2 linked regions of the Rattus norvegicus genome follow. Each later gene encodes a partner of the first gene's protein in a complex. Links are inferred from orthologs where the notes say so. Each region holds a gene or a part of one and is shown on either strand. Other genes may lie near its edges. The genes, in order: Fn1 and Col1a1.

The links.
Region 2: the proteins of Fn1 (region 1) and Col1a1 are in contact, whole or in part, in a crystal structure (PDB 3GXE), measured with the Homo sapiens proteins. The link is inferred for Rattus norvegicus from reciprocal best matches to the Homo sapiens genes FN1 and COL1A1. Residues at the interface, in NP_997647.2 of Homo sapiens: Asp516, Gln517, Lys533, His535, Glu537, His539, Leu541, Gly549, Arg550, Gly551, Arg552, Trp553, Lys554, Cys555, Pro557, Gln560, Phe569; in NP_000079.2 of Homo sapiens: Leu261, Pro262, Gly263, Met264, Lys265, Gly266, His267, Arg268.

What each region holds. Positions count from the first base shown.
Region 1 is NC_086027.1:80,711,331-80,715,655, reverse strand, and holds the start of Fn1 (fibronectin precursor), read left to right. Parts: upstream 1-1,518; 5' UTR 1,519-1,727; coding exon 1,728-1,878; intron 1,879-2,998; coding exon 2,999-3,127; intron 3,128-3,890; coding exon 3,891-4,028; intron 4,029-4,325. UniProt on the Homo sapiens protein: Fibronectins bind cell surfaces and various compounds including collagen, fibrin, heparin, DNA, and actin. Fibronectins are involved in cell adhesion, cell motility, opsonization, wound healing, and maintenance of cell shape.
Region 2 is NC_086028.1:80,378,956-80,383,523, forward strand, and holds the start of Col1a1 (collagen alpha-1(I) chain precursor), read left to right. Parts: upstream 1-1,502; 5' UTR 1,503-1,613; coding exon 1,614-1,689; intron 1,690-3,153; coding exon 3,154-3,348; intron 3,349-3,469; coding exon 3,470-3,501; intron 3,502-3,620; coding exon 3,621-3,656; intron 3,657-3,748; coding exon 3,749-3,850; intron 3,851-4,568. UniProt on the Homo sapiens protein: Type I collagen is a member of group I collagen (fibrillar forming collagen).

The sequences.
Region 1 (4,325 bases):
TATTTTGCTGGTAGCTTTAATGTGTTCTCAAAGCAAATGAGACCACGTGCCTAACCGAAGGAGAAAGCCAAGTTTGGAGTTCAGACCTGCTGCTTTGAAAATAGTGGGCTTCTCATTTTGAAGCACAGCAACTGGGCTGTGTGTGTCTGAAAGGTAAAAAAAAAAGAAAAAAAAAAAAAGAAAAAAAAAAAAAAAGACCAACGTGTTAGAGCTGTGAGCTTCAGGGGGACGTCTCCTATCCCCGCTCCAATCTCAGTAGTGTAGAAAGTCCGGAGAATTTCCGGAGACTTTTCAGTGGAACTTTATACATTCTTGGAGCAGATAACAATTGAAATCTAAAAAATCTGGCGGCGAGGGAGGGGGTGGATAGTGGAATTCTGCCATGACTGTGAAATCTGAAAAAAAATAAACGCCCAGATACATGCAAGGGAATTCCGGGGAAGGCTGGAGGAAGGCAAGACATAGTCTTTGTACCCATCCCCACCCCAGCTCTCTTTCAGAGGCCACCTAGGTCTCTGCTTTGAGTGCAAATGGCCCAGTGAACGTGGCGTGGACCTAAAGCTACCCGCTCTCCCCAACTTCATCAGCCAGTTCAAATTTCCCCCCTCTCAAGCTGTTCACCACAGGCCTTCTAAAAGAAACGGGCACCCCAATCCCAGGAAAGGAAAACTTTGTTTCATGACTTAGAAAGGAAACTTTCTGTTGCTTCATCTTTGCAGAGAGACTTGGTCTTGTGAGTTTGCCCGGAATCTTCAGGGCGCCGTGCACAACCCCGGGCTGTAGAAGCTCAGGGAAGGGGTCACCTTTGACACGCGCTCACCCTCTCCGGGGCTCTCCCTCGAAACCAAGCAGGTACTGCATGGAGAAACCGGGGTCTAAGCCTACCTAACACCGAATAGGCGGCGCCCGGGACCCAGGAAAAGCACCAGGAAGAGCCGCCCTGCCCCGGGGCTGCAAAAGTGAAGTCTGGATTCCTACAGGGACAAGGTAGTGGCCACTTAACGACTTTTTCCCTTCCCACAAAATACACCCCGGTGAGCACAGACTTTTCTCAGAGGTGACGCAATGTTCTCAAACACCACCACGGTCACCAATTTAAAAAAAAAAAAAAAAAGGAAAGAGACGAGGGGGTAAACCTGTCCCCTACCCCCAGGCTTCAGTCGGCTCCAGCCCCTCCCTCCCTTTCCTCCGAGTCTACTTCACTTTACAGCCGTTTCCCATCCCTACCCCCAATCCTCCTCCCAAAAGTTTGACGACCGCAAAGGAAACCAAAGGGGGGGGGGAAGTTCTCCAGTCCCAGACCTGGCGGGAGATCAGCATCTCTTTTGTTCGGGGCGAACCCACCGTACCCCGTGACGTCACCCGGACTCCGGGCCAATCGGCGCGCGGTCGGCCGCGGCTGCGGCGGCAGGAGGGGCGGGGGGAGTCGGACGGGACCCTCCTCCCCGGCGCGCAGGGCCTCGTGGGGGGGCGGGAAGGGACTGTCCCATATAAGCCTCTGCTCTTGGGGCTCAGCCGCTCGCACCCGCTGCACTGCACAGGGGAAGAAAAGGAGCCCAGGGTGTGAGCCGGGCCAGCGGCCACAACTTCTGGTCCTCTCCCGTGTCCTCCTTCCATCTTCTTACAGGCGTCCCCACCTCAGGACTTTTCCTGCAGGCTGCGAGGGGAACCACACTTCGTGGCCACTAGCCTCCTGGAGAGGGCGACTCTCCTCCCATCCACTCAAGATGCTCAGGGGTCCGGGACCCGGGCGGCTGCTGCTGCTAGCAGTCCTGTGCCTGGGGACATCGGTGCGCTGCACCGAAACCGGGAAGAGCAAGAGGCAGGCTCAGCAAATCGTGCAGCCTCCGTCCCCGGTGGCTGTCAGTCAGAGCAAGCGTGAGTACCGACAGTCTGGCTGAAACCGGCCGGCACCAGGGATGGGTTGGTCCTCGGCTCCCGCAGAAGTTGTGGCTAAAGTTTTGCGCGCGTGCGTGGCTGTGCGAACGTATGTGAGTGCGCGCTTTATTGAAGGAAACCAGCTGTGGACACAAAAGGGCTTATGTTTGAGCAGGCTGGTTGCGGGTACAGTGGAGGCAGGGACCATCTGTCCTTCCCGTCAAGTGCGCTAACAAATTCCACACCTTCAGTTCGCCCTTCCGGGAACCCAAACTTGTGAAAGAGAAAAGAAACATGAACTTAAAAATTTTACATCTGAGATTAGTGTAGTTCCCCGATCCTTATTTTCCTTATTAGTAAATAGTTGGTTAAATATTTAATAAATGGGGAGGAAGAAAAGTATCTAAATAGGTAGTTTCTTACCAACTGGAAAGAGATGTTGTTAGCTCAGTGCTTTGGGGGATACCTCAGGGCTCCCCCAAAAGGATTCTTCATTAAGAGCAGGGATATGCGTTTCTCTTCCAGATTTTCAGAGACCCACTCTTCCTTTAAAAGTTCTCCCTCCTTTTTTTTTTTTTTTCTCTCTTTTTCTTTTGGAGATGATCTCACACTGTAGCCAAAGCTAGCCTGATGTTCTCCAGGCTTGTGTTCAACTTGGAGCAATTCTCTTGCCTCAGCTTCTACAGAGCTGGGGTTTACTGGCATAGTCACCAGGACACCCAACTTAAAAGTTTCCTTTCTTGTCTTATTTGATGTTGTTGCTGTTAAGATTGAAGCCTTTCATGATTTAAAAGTATTTTCTACTTTTTTGCCTCTCAGAATGTTTCCATTCTGCTGATGTAGTTCCCCTGACCAGATGGACATGACGTCATTGTATAACTTTTAACCATGTTAAAAGATAAGAAAAAAAAAAAAAAACCCTAAACGTCCATCTGCATAGACAATGCTTAAATCTTTGACTAGCTAGCTCCCACATCAAAATTTTAGGGAAATATTGCTTTTTAAGAGTTTTTGTGTTTGTTCAGGCTCACCAAGTCAGTTGGCAAAATTCAGTAACTTTGTAGGGGAAAAAGGGGAGGAGGGATGAAGCTGTCATAACTTTCCCCTCAATTCTTCACAGCTGGCTGTTTTGACAACGGGAAGCATTATCAGATAAATCAGCAGTGGGAACGGACCTACCTAGGCAACGCCCTGGTTTGTACCTGCTATGGAGGAAGCAGAGGTTTTAACTGCGAGAGCAAGCCTGAACGTAAGTGGAAGGCAGTCTGGTCCCTGGCAGAAATGATGCTTTAAATAAAAACACATTTGCTCTTTCCTCCACCCTGCTAAGAATCACTTGTAATTCTCTCTTAGTAAAACTTCTTCTCCTGGCTTTTCACGTGCTCTAAAACAAATGCAATCCAAATTAGTTTCCAAAGCCTTCATTTTTATTCTTTTGATTGGAAAATGAAAGGTTTTGCATGTCTCCCTTCAAAAAGAAAACTTATAAAAGTTTGCTTGTAAAGGCTTAATTTATTAGAAAGTTATCTCAGATCTCTGGCTCCCGATTATGGACCAGAAACTGCTTTGAAGCACTGAGTTGTAAAGTGATTTGTTAGCTGCAGTTTCTGAGTCTTCGAAGCCCCTTCATCTGCTTCTTGTGAATTACAGCAGGCCCTTCCGAGCGGCTGCTGAGGGAGGATACAGGGGAAATATTTCAGTAGGGCTGACAAAAGCCAACGCCTGCTGGGAAGAAGGCAACCTTCAAACTGTGTCCCTGTGACCCTTGAATTGATTTCCCTGGCTTGAGACTGGAATTCCAAATCTTTCCTTTGCAACTCAGCTGGTCTCAGGGTGTGGCTTTTTCCTGAGAATTCTTTACATTATAAATAAGAGAGCAGTGGAGAGCTTGCCGAAGGTCAAGAGCTCTGGTTCTGTTAAAGCCTAACTTGAAATTTGTCTCACTTTAGTTTCAATGTAGCGGTGTATGTATGTGAAACTCACACGGGACTTTTTTTTTTTCCTTTCCACAGCTGAAGAGACCTGTTTTGACAAATACACTGGAAACACTTACAAAGTGGGTGACACTTATGAGCGCCCTAAAGATTCCATGATCTGGGACTGTACCTGCATTGGGGCTGGGCGAGGCAGGATCAGCTGTACCATTGCAAGTAAGAAAGGCCTTGGGTGATATGATGATGGAGGTCACATATACACGTCGCTTTCTCTGTCCTGTCCCTGCCTCCATCTGTTATCCTTGTGACCAAACCCCATGTGGTCACTCAGCTAGCTCTTGTACTTCTGAATGATGGATCTAAACAGAGATGGAACTCCTGCTCCTCTGTGTGTGTGTGTGTGTGTGCGCGTGTATGTGTGTGTTTAGGTGTGTGTTTAGGTGTGTGTGTGTGTGTAGGTGTGTAGGTGTGTGTGTGTGTGTGTGTGTGATGTGCCAGTGGAAGATCTCTTGG
Region 2 (4,568 bases), on another chromosome or scaffold:
GGTTTGGAGGAGGCGGGACTCCTTGCTTCCACGTTTACAGCTCTGAAGACGGCTGTGGGGGAAGTGATACAGGACGTCTATGGGCCCTGAGAGGAGACCCCTATGCTTCCCTGCCACCCACACAGTTTAACAAAATGAAGTTCCTAAGTAGAGTGGGGGTCAGGCAGAGCACCTTTGCAGGGTTGATGGGAGCCCAGGGAAAGAAAGGACACTGTCTTTTAGGGACACATTTAAATATAAGCCACTTTTCTTGGGGGACGACAAATGACCCTTTCCTGATTGCAGAGGTGGGGAACAATGGCTGAGATTTTCAGCAAAGAAGCGAGGACATGAGGAGTAGCCTTCAAATAAAGTCACTCAGCTACCAAAAACAAGTTTCTGCCACACACCGAGTTCACCTAGGTGTCCCCAGACCAGATCCAAGTACAGTAAGGAAAGCAGGTTCTCTACAGAGAGAACACGGCTCTATGGCCAATGCCTTCTACCTGCTCTTTCTGGATTGATACTGCTACCTAAGAGGGCCTCTAACCAATTCCTGGCTGTAGCCACAGCTGACACAAGACCTTTTTCTAAGACATCCCTGGTCACAGGCCTCCTGTAGCAAATTCCAGCCCTGGGATGGAGGTGGTCAGGAAAGAGTTTATACAAGAAGACCCAGGCCACAGCTTTAAGGACTCAGAAACCCCCCTGCCCACACGGCTGCCCATCATAACGCAGAAGGTTTCTTCTGGAAGGACAAGGATGTCAAACTTCTCCCCAAGCCTAATCCTCAGAGATGTCTCCCTCTGTTACACCTGGGGCTGGAGAAAGGTGGGTCTTTCATGGAGCCACATTCATGGCAGAACAGATAGCCACCCCACTCCTTTCAAACAACCACATATCTGACTCTTAGTATCTGTGAAGAGATGTCTAATTTGTTCCCAAATAGTCCTACCCTGCATACCTGGGCCCACACCATGAGGTATTCTCCTCCCTCTAACAGTCACATCTGCTTAGCTGCCTGGTTCTTCGGATTTGGAGAGATGCTTGCCTAACTTATTCTTCCTTAGGTCTTCCCAAGGATGCCAGAAAGACTATGAGACATGGCCAAGAGGACCTTTTCCCAATTGTGCCTGACACTGAACCCTTTGTAATGTTCCCCAACTCAGATTCCCAATTCTACATCCTTCTGATTTGAGGTCCCAGAAGGAAAGTGCAAGGGGCATCCCCTACCCACAATCAGTATATCGAGGGCCCAGCCACACTCAGTGATAGCACCTCTGGCCCATGTAGATCTGGGGGACAAGGGTGGCAGAATTGCAAAGGGGGGAGGGGGCTGGGTGGACTCCTTTCCCTTCCTTTCCCTCCTCCCCCCTCTTCGTTCCAAATTGGGGGCCGGGCCAGGCAGTTCTGATTGGCTGGGGGCCGGGCTGCTGGCTCCCCCTCTCCAAGAGGCAGGGTTCCTCCCAGCCCTCCTCCATCAGGATGGTATAAAAGGGGCCCAGGCCAGTCGTCGGAGCAGACGGGAGTTTCACCTCCGGACGGAGCAGGAGGCACACGGAGTGAGGCCACGCATGAGCCGAAGCTAACCCCCCACCCCAGCCGCAAAGAGTCTACATGTCTAGGGTCTAGACATGTTCAGCTTTGTGGACCTCCGGCTCCTGCTCCTCTTAGGGGCCACTGCCCTCCTGACGCATGGCCAAGAAGACAGTAAGTTCCAAACTCTGGGGAGGTTATGGTTTCTTGCTATCGCGTTCTGCATAGGGGTCCTAGCAATAAAGACTTAAACGGAAGCGCGGGGTGCTCCAGAGTTAGGAGGGATGAGAAGGTGATGGAGAGGAACTGGGAAGAGAGAGGTCACCCTCGCGAGCAGAGGAGAGTGAGCAGATCTCAGAAGTGGAGCCCTGGTTGAGATGGCACGGCAGGAAATTTCAAGCATCTATCTGTAGCGCGACGGGAAAAGTGGGAATCTGGGCAGGGGTTGGGTCAGAGTACGTCGAAGATCAAATAAGACCTCTGGAATAGAGATTCGAAGCTCAAGATGTAAAAGCAATCAAAAAGGCTGCGGGATGATTCATAAGGAAAGATTGTTTGCCCTCTCTGCAGGCTAGACAGTGTTGCTGGGGCCTCCGGGGTGCTGGGCTCTGGGAGTGGGGTGGGGGGAGGAAGGGACGCACGGAGAGGGCGGGTTGCTGGATGAGAAAGTTTGGCTAAGACTTGACTGGGCGCGGTCCCTGTGCCTCCTGCTGGTCAACCTTGAGCACTACGAGTCCTGGTACAGTACTTTACAGCGCGCGGGCTTAAGAGGGAAAACCTGGGCTATTGCCGGGCCTGGACCCTCATCTCCAGACTAGGAAAATAAAAGCACAGATGGATATGATAGCCTTGGTCTTTGAAAGTGACCCAGGCCAGTAAAATTGGGTCCGCCCCGTGCATTGCTTAGCGTTGCCCGCCACCTAGTGGTTGCTTTGATCCGGTGCTAGAGAGGTGGGCGTGGTTAACTAATCATTGCTATTTGTAGACTTGAGTTCTTTCTTTGGCTAAGGAGTGACCCCAAAGCTCTACTGGCTTTGAAGGAAGGACCGGGAAAGCTTTGATTCCTGGGAGCGGAGAGTTAGGGTGTATCTAACTTTAGGGATATATTTTACTACTCTGGACAAGGCTCCACGGAAGTCACCCTCCTCCATTTTAGCCCCGCCCATTCCGTCCCACCTGCCCAAGGAAAGGAGGTGGGACCAGGGCTGGAATTTCCCTTCTCTCCTCCCACCCCCGCCTCCGGTCTCCCCGCAAACCACGTCCCACAAACCTCCACCTACTTTGTAGGAGCCCTCCTACTCTCCGTCAGGAGGACTTCTATTTCATTTGGTTCCCGCGCGCGTGGGCTGAAGTTGAGTTTGGAAGCAACCCCAGCCTAAAGCTTTGTTTAAATTCCTGGGAACTTGGAAGTTACAGCCCTGGCCAGGCTTCTTGGTGCTGTCACTGAACGCCGTTACAGAGCAGACCTGCATTTAAGGATTTAAGGGAAGAAAATAGGGGTTGGGGGAAAGATGTGGGAAGTGGAAAATCTACGTGCACCTCTTAGACAGGGGAAAGGGTGAGTAAGGCTGGGATCCCTGGTGCATCAGGTAAGGTTTCAGAGCCGCTCATGTCCTGTGTCTCTTCCCATTTGCTCAGTCCCTGAAGTCAGCTGCATACACAATGGCCTAAGGGTCCCTAATGGTGAGACGTGGAAACCTGATGTATGCTTGATCTGTATCTGCCACAATGGCACGGCTGTGTGCGATGGCGTGCTATGCAAAGAAGACTTGGACTGTCCCAACCCCCAAAAACGGGAGGGCGAGTGCTGTCCTTTCTGCCCAGAAGAATATGGTACGGTTCTAGTCCTAGGATTAAGGGAGGTCGGAGTCCCTCCTTTCCCTGTGTCTTGAAAACCTATAACACCCCAGGTACCTTAGCAAATTTACTTCTAACTGCACATTTTTCTCCCCAGTATCACCAGACGCAGAAGTCATAGGAGTCGAGGTAATAGTCTGCCCCCTACTTTTGCCCACCCGTCCATGACTCCCACTGTCCTCCAATAAACTCCAACTTTTTTTTCGTTCTCTAACCGGCCTCTTGTTTCTTCACCCTCAACCCCACAGGGACCCAAGGGAGACCCTGGCCCCCAAGGCCCACGGGTAAGAGCATCTTATTTTAAGTGAGCTGGGAACCTGGAGGGGGTGTGGCTCTGATTTGGGTTCATAACAGCCCCCTCCATTTCTTGGTGCAGGGACCTGTTGGCCCCCCTGGACAAGATGGCATCCCTGGACAGCCTGGACTTCCTGGTCCTCCTGGTCCCCCCGGCCCCCCCGGACCCCCTGGTCTTGGAGGAGTAAGTAGATCTGGGAGACCCCAGACTTATGTGACTCCCCGTTTTGTTTTGTTTTTGTTCATTTGCCTGTTTGTTTTTCTTTGCTTTGGTTTTGTCAGACACAACTTTGTATCTTTAAGTAATCATAAACTTACAGGAAAGTTGCAATGGTACACAGAACTTCTGTTCACCCTTCAAAACACCTGCTTTTTCACTTTCTGGACACACAGCTCTCTCTGTCTCTGTGTATTCCCAACCATTTGAGACATATCGTCAAGAACATGCCCAAAGGGGGTTGGGGATTTGGCTCAGTGGTAGAGCGCTTGCCTAGCAAGCGCAAGGCCCTGGGTTCGGTCCCCAGCTCCGGAAAAAAAAAAAAAGAATAGAAAAAAAAATGTTCCCAGAGGTCTGCCTCTGGTGACATGAGCAAGAACATGCCCATGCCTTATGCTCTGAAGCACATTTCCTAAGAGCAAGTGCATCCTCCTATGGGACCATAGCACCACATTTAATGTTGATCTAACGCTATTGCCTGATGGACAGTCCCACTTTCAGATTTCACCGGTGCCTCCCAAAATGTCCTTTGTAGCATCACCCCCTCCCTGTCCAAGACCACCAATTGCATTCCATTATCTCAGTCCTTTGATTCCCACGAGTGTAGGCTGTTTCTGAGACTCTTCGTCATCCTTGACTCAGCGAGGTTTTGAAGAGTCTGGCTGTTGGGCAGAAGCCATTATTT